Canis lupus familiaris: one gene and its partner. The protein of the gene in region 1 purifies or fractionates together with the protein of each later gene. This does not show direct contact. Links are inferred from orthologs where the notes say so. Each region holds a gene or a part of one and is shown on either strand. Other genes may lie near its edges. The genes, in order: NFX1 and LARP1.

The links.
Region 2: the proteins of NFX1 (region 1) and LARP1 purify together in Homo sapiens (affinity purification with mass spectrometry, with the first as the bait; 3 studies listed by BioGRID). This does not show direct contact. The link is inferred for Canis lupus familiaris from reciprocal best matches to the Homo sapiens genes NFX1 and LARP1.

The regions. Positions count from the first base shown.
Region 1 is NC_049232.1:50,683,516-50,687,321, forward strand, and holds part of NFX1 (transcriptional repressor NF-X1), read left to right. Parts: intron 1-471; exon of another isoform or gene 472-518; coding exon 519-749; intron 750-1,611; coding exon 1,612-1,685; intron 1,686-2,882; coding exon 2,883-2,984; intron 2,985-3,711; coding exon 3,712-3,753; intron 3,754-3,806. UniProt on the Homo sapiens protein: Binds to the X-box motif of MHC class II genes and represses their expression. May play an important role in regulating the duration of an inflammatory response by limiting the period in which MHC class II molecules are induced by interferon-gamma.
Region 2 is NC_049225.1:55,910,286-55,914,191, reverse strand, and holds the start of LARP1 (la-related protein 1), read left to right. Parts: upstream 1-1,035; 5' UTR 1,036-1,050; coding exon 1,051-1,489; intron 1,490-1,936; exon of another isoform or gene 1,937-1,946; coding exon of another isoform or gene 1,947-2,010; intron 2,011-3,906. UniProt on the Homo sapiens protein: RNA-binding protein that regulates the translation of specific target mRNA species downstream of the mTORC1 complex, in function of growth signals and nutrient availability.

The DNA of each region.
Region 1 (3,806 bases):
AATTTTTTAAGTGACAGAACTGCTTAAAGCTATGGAGACCATGAGTTGAAAGATGTGAGGAGAATTGAATATTTAATTGTTTATGTAAAAGAGCCCTGCCAGCAGTCTTGAAACCATGGGTCAAGGGTATCCCCAACCCTCTGAGTTCATGTGTCAACTCAGTGCCCTAGCTATTTGTAAAGGAAAGTGGTGGGGAGATCATCTGATCCCCTCAGTTGGTCTCCTAGCATTTTCAAATATTCCCTAGTTACCTGGTTTCATGTGCTTGTTACCCACCCTGGAAGTGTATGTTTTAAGTCACACTTGGTTGCTAGCACAAATTCTTTTGGATCATAACAAATATCATTAAATAAGGTTCAGATTTGTTTATTTTCAAGCTAACCTTTCAGATTTTGAAGATCAGCCTAATTTTTTTCAGATAATAATAACTTTGAAAATTTAGAAATGTTTAAATAGGAAATTAAAACTCACCCAGATACCACATGGAGATAAGAATCTGGCTACTCTGTCTCTCCTAGTTACGAAGCAACATCCCCTGTCACCTGGCTGATATCTCTTGCGGATTACCCTGCAGTGCCACGCTACCATGTGGGATGCACAAGTGTCAGAGACTCTGTCACAAAGGAGAGTGTCTTGTGGATGAGCCCTGCAAGCAGCCCTGTACTACCCCCAGAGCTGACTGTGGCCACCCGTGTATGGCGCCCTGCCACCCCAGCTCACCCTGCCCCATGACTGCTTGTAAAGCCAAGGTGCGTATTCCTGGCTCTAGATAGGGCATTGATTATGGTTCTGGGACTTCTCATGAGTCTAGAACTACCTGCAGAGGTGCCTGGACACACATTCTAATCAGAGGTAATTGGTTGCAAGGAAGTAAGTTAAGTTAGCAAGAGAAAAGCGGAGTAAGTAGATTTCTGTCTGCCCAACTTGATATGGCCTTTTAGTTCAGAAGGTACCCCCCAGTGCCACCTGACCACAGTCACTGCCTCTCTCCCTTAGAGTAAATTCTCAAGAGAGACTCTGGCCACTCCATTTATTCAACAAATTTTAAGTGTTTTGTGCAATATGTTTTGCTAGGTCCTGGGGCCATACCAGTGAACAGGAGACACACATGTCCCTTCAGTTAGTGGGACACATACTGACTGCCTACTCAGATAATGAATTATGACTGTGGTGAATGAGAAGTTATACCTTATAGAGGGTGCTTTGAGAGTTTGTGTGTAGGGAGACTTAGCCTGGTCTGAGGGATCTAAGCAAGGCCTCCCTGAAGAGATGAAAGCAAATGAAAGAGGCGGACTTGGTTAGATTAGACTTTGGATGGTCTTGGCCCAGGCTCAGTGGTAAAGCTTCATTCTAAGCCTGCCCCTTCAGGTAGAGTTAAGGATAGGAGTAGTTCCCAGAAAGGGTCATTGTAGAGTGAACAGTTCCTCCTAGCATGTCAACTACCACATTGTTGTTTTGTGTATATGGTTAGCTTCCCCCATCCTGAAGGGTAGCCACTCAATGTCTGTATCCTCTGCCATGGTTTGATTTGGGAGAGGCTTTAAAAGTGAAACCTGCCTATTTGCATGGTTTCCATGCTGTAAAAGTTGGTCCATGTTAATCTTATTTCAGATAGAGCTGCAGTGTGAATGTGGACGAAGAAAGGAGATGATGATTTGCTCTGAAGCATCCAGTACTTATCAAAGGTTAGTGCTACTTCATTGTTAACAGTGGTGGGTCTCAGTATACAGAGGGGACACCTGTTTACTGTCAAATCCTTGCAATTTTTGTCAACTTTGGAAGGTTTTTTCCTTTTTTTACAAAGAGCTTGTGTGTAAGCCAGTGGGAGTGGGGAAGAAAGAGAAAGAATCTTAAACAGACTCCCCAATGAGTGCAGAGCCTGATGGGCCCTGAGATCACGACCTGAGCTGAAACCAAGAGTCAGATGCTTAACCAACTGAGCCACCCAGGCACACCTGGAAAGTTGTTTTAAATAAATTTTCCAAATAAATAAATAAATAAATAAATAAATAAATAAATAAATAAATAAATAAATAAATAAATAAATAATTACATCACATCACATCACATCACATCACATCACATCACCACATCACATCACCACATCACATCACATCACATCACATCACATCACATCACCACATCACATCACCACATCACATCACATCACATCACATCACATCACATCACATTTTTTCCTGAATCTAGTTTTTCTGGTTCAAAGAAAAAGTATTGCTTTGTGTCCCTTTCTTTCCCTAACTTTCATTTGTTAAAATAATCTTTTTATTTTTTTTTCCTCTTCCCCTCTCTCCCATCTGGTCTTACTACACCATGAGATCAAAAGGGATGATGTCCTGAAGTTGCATGAACTGCTTTAACGTCCCGTCACTTGGGGTGATCCAGTCAGGACCAAGTCCTGTGCTCTTCCTCTGCAGTAGGGGTTTTTGACTATTCTGTGAATTATCTTTTCAGCCTCCTGAAATCCTGGGGCCAGGTGGTCAGAAAGGGATCTCAGTAAGGAGGCAAAGGTGTTAGGGATGGATGGTTGTGTGTGTCTCTAATCAGACACATGTAATCATATGCAGATATGTGTCATGGAGATAGGAATTTTGGAGTATGAAGACATCAGAGTGGCTTTGACATCAATGGGTTTGAATACTGGATATTCAAGGAGATTGAATAGACTATTCATTGTTTCTGATGGAACTGCTTAGAATCTAATTGAGGAAATATGACATAAATGTGTGGATAGTTCATAATAGATGGGTTTCTGAGGCCACATGAATTGTCCAGTAACTTGAAAGAAGTCTTCTGTGTCCTAATATTAGGACATTTCTGTGAAACTACAGTACCTTTTTTTCCCTTTCTTTTTTATACTTCAGAATAGCTGCTATTTCCATGGCCTCTAAAATAACAGACATGCAGCTTGGAGATTCAGTGGAAATCAGCAAGTTAATTACTAAGAAAGAAATTCACCAAGCCAGGTAATTTTTAAAATGTATGTCTTCTGTTAGAATTAATTTCCAGAGGGCAGGAACCATTCATTTATCTCAATCTCCCACAGTGAAGCCTTGCACACATGGTAGGTGTTTGAACAGACATTTGATGTTATGAGACCATACACAGGACACCTGGATGGCCTAGTGGTTGAGCCTCTGCCTTTGGCTTAGGGCATGATCCTGGAGTCCTAGGATCAAGTCCCTGCATGGAGCCTGCTTCTTCCTCTGCCTATGTCTCTGCCTATGTCTCTGCCTCTGTGTGTGTGTGTGTGTGTGTGTGTGTGTGTGTGTGTGTGTTTCTCATGAATAAATAAATAAAATCTTTAAAAAATAAATAAGAGACCACACTCCAATCCATTGAATCTTGCTCAGGATATAGCTACGACCAGAGGAGACTTTTCTAGGCCTTTCTTAAAATAGCCAGAGGAAGCAGAGACCTAGATATATCCAGCCCAACTCACAGAACAGAGAACCAGCTATGTCAACAGAGGGATGTGGGGCTGTCAGAGAGTCATTGGGAGCATTTTGGAGACACTTTGAGGCCCTTCTGAGGAACCCTAGATTCCTATAACCCAGAAGCTCACCCACCTGTCCTTGAGAGGGACCTCATGCAGCTGTGTTTTAGAGAGTCTGCTCTGTTTCCAGGTTTTATTGCTGGGTAGGAGCTGTGAAATTTGTGCCCTGACTTTATTTTTTTCATTTGTTTCTCAAGGCTGGAGTGTGATGAGGAGTGTTTAGCCTTGGAAAGGAAAAAGTAAGTCGTTTCAACTGCCTTTTATCTACTTGTTCTTGAGTTCTGTGAAATTG
Region 2 (3,906 bases), on another chromosome or scaffold:
GGGAGGAGCCCGGCGCGGCCCGCGGAGGTGAGGGCGGCTCGCCCAAGGTCACCCAGGCGGGGCCCCGGAGGGGCCAGGCCCGCGGAGCGCCGGGGAGCCGGCAGCGTCGGCGCGTCCTCGAGGTGGATAGGGACCCCTCTCCTTCGCCCTGTAAGTCAGGGGTGACGTTAATGGCTCCGACTCCCGAGTCGGGCGCAGCCAGCCTGGAGAGCGCGAGCAGGCCCGCTCGGCCGCGTGGCCCGTTCCCATGTGCTCCACCTGCGGGCGCTCCGACGCGCGGGCCCTTTAAGACACCTCCCCCCTTCCCCCACCCCGCTCTGCGCCCGCCCCCCCGTCGCCCTCCCTCCCGAATTGCATCAGGCACGTGCTCGCCCCCGTCCGGCCGGAGCACCCCTCACCCCCCAGCCCGGGAGGCGCTCCGAGGCCTCGGAGGCGAGGGGCGGGGCGGGGCGGGGGGCGGGGGCGGGGCCGCGGGGCCGTGCGCGCGCGCTCCCGCCGCCTCCGCCCGCCCGCCGCCCGCCCGCCGCCCGCCGCCCGCCGCCCGCCGCCCAGGGCCGGCCTCGGCGGGCGCGCCCCCGCCGCGCCGTCCCCTCCCCTCGCCCGCCGCGTCGCGAGGCGCGCGCCCGCCCGCCGCCTGCCGCGGATCGCGTGGTCGCCTCGGCTCGCCGCGCCTCTCCCCCGTCCGTCCATATTGCTGCAGCCCCCGAGCCGGGAAGCCCGGGCCGCCCCGGCGGCGGGGGGGAGGGAGGGACGGGACGAGAAGCCTGCCGGGCTCGGGGTGGGGGCGCCTAGCGAGGAACGGGCGGGGGGGGCCGCGCGCCGAGGAGGCCTGGACCGCAGAGTGGGGGGCCTTCCTCCCCCCCCCGCCCGCCAGCGGGCCTCGGACCTACGGCGGCTGCCTCCGACCGCGAGGGGAGCCGCGCCTAGCGGGAGCCCCGGCCCTTCTCCGCAGGGACTGGGGCCCGGCGGCCCGGAGGAAGGCGTCGCGGGTGCCCTGAGAGCCAAGTTCGCGGCGGGGGAGGCGGCTTCTCCGGGGGGGCGGGCGCGCAGATGGCCACTCAGGTGGAGCCGCTGCTGCCGGGGGGCGCCCCGCTCTTGCAGGCCGAAGAGCACGGGGGTCTGGTGAGGAAGAAGCCGCCGCCGCCGCCGCCTGCCGAGGGCAAGGGCGAGCCCGGGGCGAACGACGTCGGAGGGGGGGAGCCGGACGGCGGCGCCCGGAGACCGCGGCCGCTCTGCGCCAAGCCGCACAAGGAGGGCACCGGGCCGCCGGAGCGCGAGAGCCCGCGGCCGCCGCCGCCGCCGCCGCCGCCCGGCGCCGAGGGCCTGGCGGTCAGCGACGGGGAGGAGGGCGGCGGCGAGCCGGGCGCCGGCGGAGCGGCGGCCGCCGGGCGCCGGGACTTCGTGGAGGCGCCTCCGCCCAAGGTGAACCCGTGGACTAAGAACGCGCTGCCGCCGGCGCTGGCCGCGGTGAACGGACAGTCCCCTCCAGGTGGGTCCGCCTGCTCGCCGCCCGGGCCGGGACCTCTTCCGGGGAGGAGGGCGTCCCCTCCCCCAGCGGCCTTGAGGGCCCGGGGGTCCGCCGCCGGCCGTCGTGACTCGGGCCTTTTTCTCTCCTTCCTTTTTCATTGCCTCCCGTTTAAACTGGGCCGCCGCGCCCCGTCCCCCGGCTCGCTCGGGAAGCCGCCCCGCCGGGGCCCGGCCTCCGGGAGCCCGCGGCCAGCGCCCGGGCCTCGGCGGCCGGCGGGCAACGGCGCGGCGCGGGCCTACCCGGCCGGGGGACGGCGGGCGCGGGCGGCAGTGCGGGCCCCCCGGCCCGGCGAGTGGGTGTCGGGGACGGTGCCCGGCCGGACCCTCCCCGGGAAGCCCCCCTTCCCGCCCGCCCCGCCCCGCGCTCGCGTCCCGGGAGCGCCGCGATCGGCCCCATGTTGTGAATGTTTGAGGAGCATATGTCAGGGGCGGCGGAGCTCCGGCGAGGCGTTCGCACCGGCCGCACGGATTCGGGCTCGGAAAGTTAGCAAGTTTTGTTGTGTGGTGGCTGGTGGTAGGCGGTAGGATCGCCTTGGGCGGCGGGTCGAGGGGTCGGGGACGGGGACGGGGACGAGGAGAGGAAACCCAACGTGTCACTGGGTTCGGTGGTTTCCCTTCCCGGCCCCGGGGACCTTCCGCCTCGAGCGGGGGCCGGGCGGCGGGCGTGCGGGGGACCCGCTCGGGGGGAGGCGGAAAATGGGCGGCGAGGCCGGGGGCACGCGGCGCGCCGAGGGGCGTGCGGCGGCGGGGGAGGGAGTGGCCGCGCCGGGCGGGCGGGTGACAGTTGGGCGCCATGCGCCGCGCCGCCGGCCCGCGGGCTGCTCGCGGCCGCTGGGCCTGTGCGTTCGGGGTGGAAGGCGGGTGCGGGCGGCGGCGGCGGCGGCGGCGCGGGGGTGCGTGTGCGCGGGGGCCGCGGGGGTGCGTGTGCGCGGGGGCCGCGGGGGTGCGTGTGCGCGGGGGCCGCGGGGGTGCGTGTGCGCGGCCCCCCTTCCCGGCATTCCTCCGCAGCCGGGACAGCGTGGTGCCTCCCCGCGCGGGCAGCGGCATGTGACCGCCGCCGCGCTGCCCGCGCCCTGCCTCTGCGGCTCGCGGCTTCGGCCCTGCGGCCCCGGGCCCTCGGAGATCGCCGCGGAGCCGTGTCAGCGCGGGGGCGGGCGGGGGAAGGCGGTGCGGAACCCGGAGGCCGGCCGGGCCTCGGTGGCCGGCTTGGGCGGGGGGCGCGCTCGGCTTCCCTTTGGAAGTGGATCCGGAGCGAAACCGGCCTGTGGCTACAGCGGGGGGCCTGCGGGGCTGAACTCCTCCCCTTCTGCAGCCGCTGGCCGAGGGGGACTGGTGGAGGTTGAAGAGGGAGCTGATTAAGGCCTTCGCATTCGAGGTGGGGATTAGAATCTTCTCGTAGTCCTAGGGAAACCAGAACAGCCAATTCTGAAAATAGCATGTTGCAATTTTTATTTCTTTGAAGGTTGCTTCATTTGGAGGAGGGGACATTGACGTTTACTAATGATACCTCAGACCGTGTTCTCTCTTCCTTCTGCCCTCTCCCCTTCCCCCCTTTGCCTTCCAGAACCCTCTTATGCAAAGGGCAGTGCCGAAACCTCCATTTTCTTGCGTATCCCTCCTGATCCACCCACAGAGGGAGGGAAATCAACTTTAAAACACTCTTTGGTCCTTCCCCCGTCTTTAAACTCAAAGGGGTATAATCATCCCCAGGAGAGAGCACTCCTCAGAAGTTTAAATGGGGCTACTCACCCTGGCTGCTGCTGCTGCTTAGCTAATGGTGAACCTGCCTTGTGGGTTTTAAATCAGCCGTGACATCAGGAGGTATTGGGTGCCTGAGCTGGCATTTTGTGCAAGTGCAGTGCACCCTTGATAGGGTGCGTCACTGGGGTTATTGATCGTGGGAAGAAGACAGCTTGGCTGGCATCTCGCCTTTCCCTGGAGTGGAGAAGCCAACTTGCTTTAAGTGCCCAAAGCAAAATTCTGAGCCTAGTAGTTTTGCTCTGTTTTTGTTTTTCAGGAGTCTTAAGGCAAGAAAGCGTCTAGTCTGCTCGTTGGTTTTTGAACCTTTGGACTAGTCTTTGACAGACTTAACTCTCAATTAATCCGGTAGCTGCTTTGCTTAAGCCTGTTATTAGGGCCTGGATGCTTTTTGAGGGAGAATTTTGTGATTGAACTCTCTGTCTGGTAAGGTTAGTTGGTGGCCCTTTCTTTGGAGAGTCTACATCGACTGCTAAGGCAGTTTTTCAAGTCCTGATTTTATTTGCAACTTAGACAAGTTTAAATGTGACACCAATGGAGTGGCAGTGTGGTCTTGGGAATTTTTGTGTTCTGTGATGCATATGTTTTTGGGAGTCCACAGAAATGAGTGCCTCATAAGCA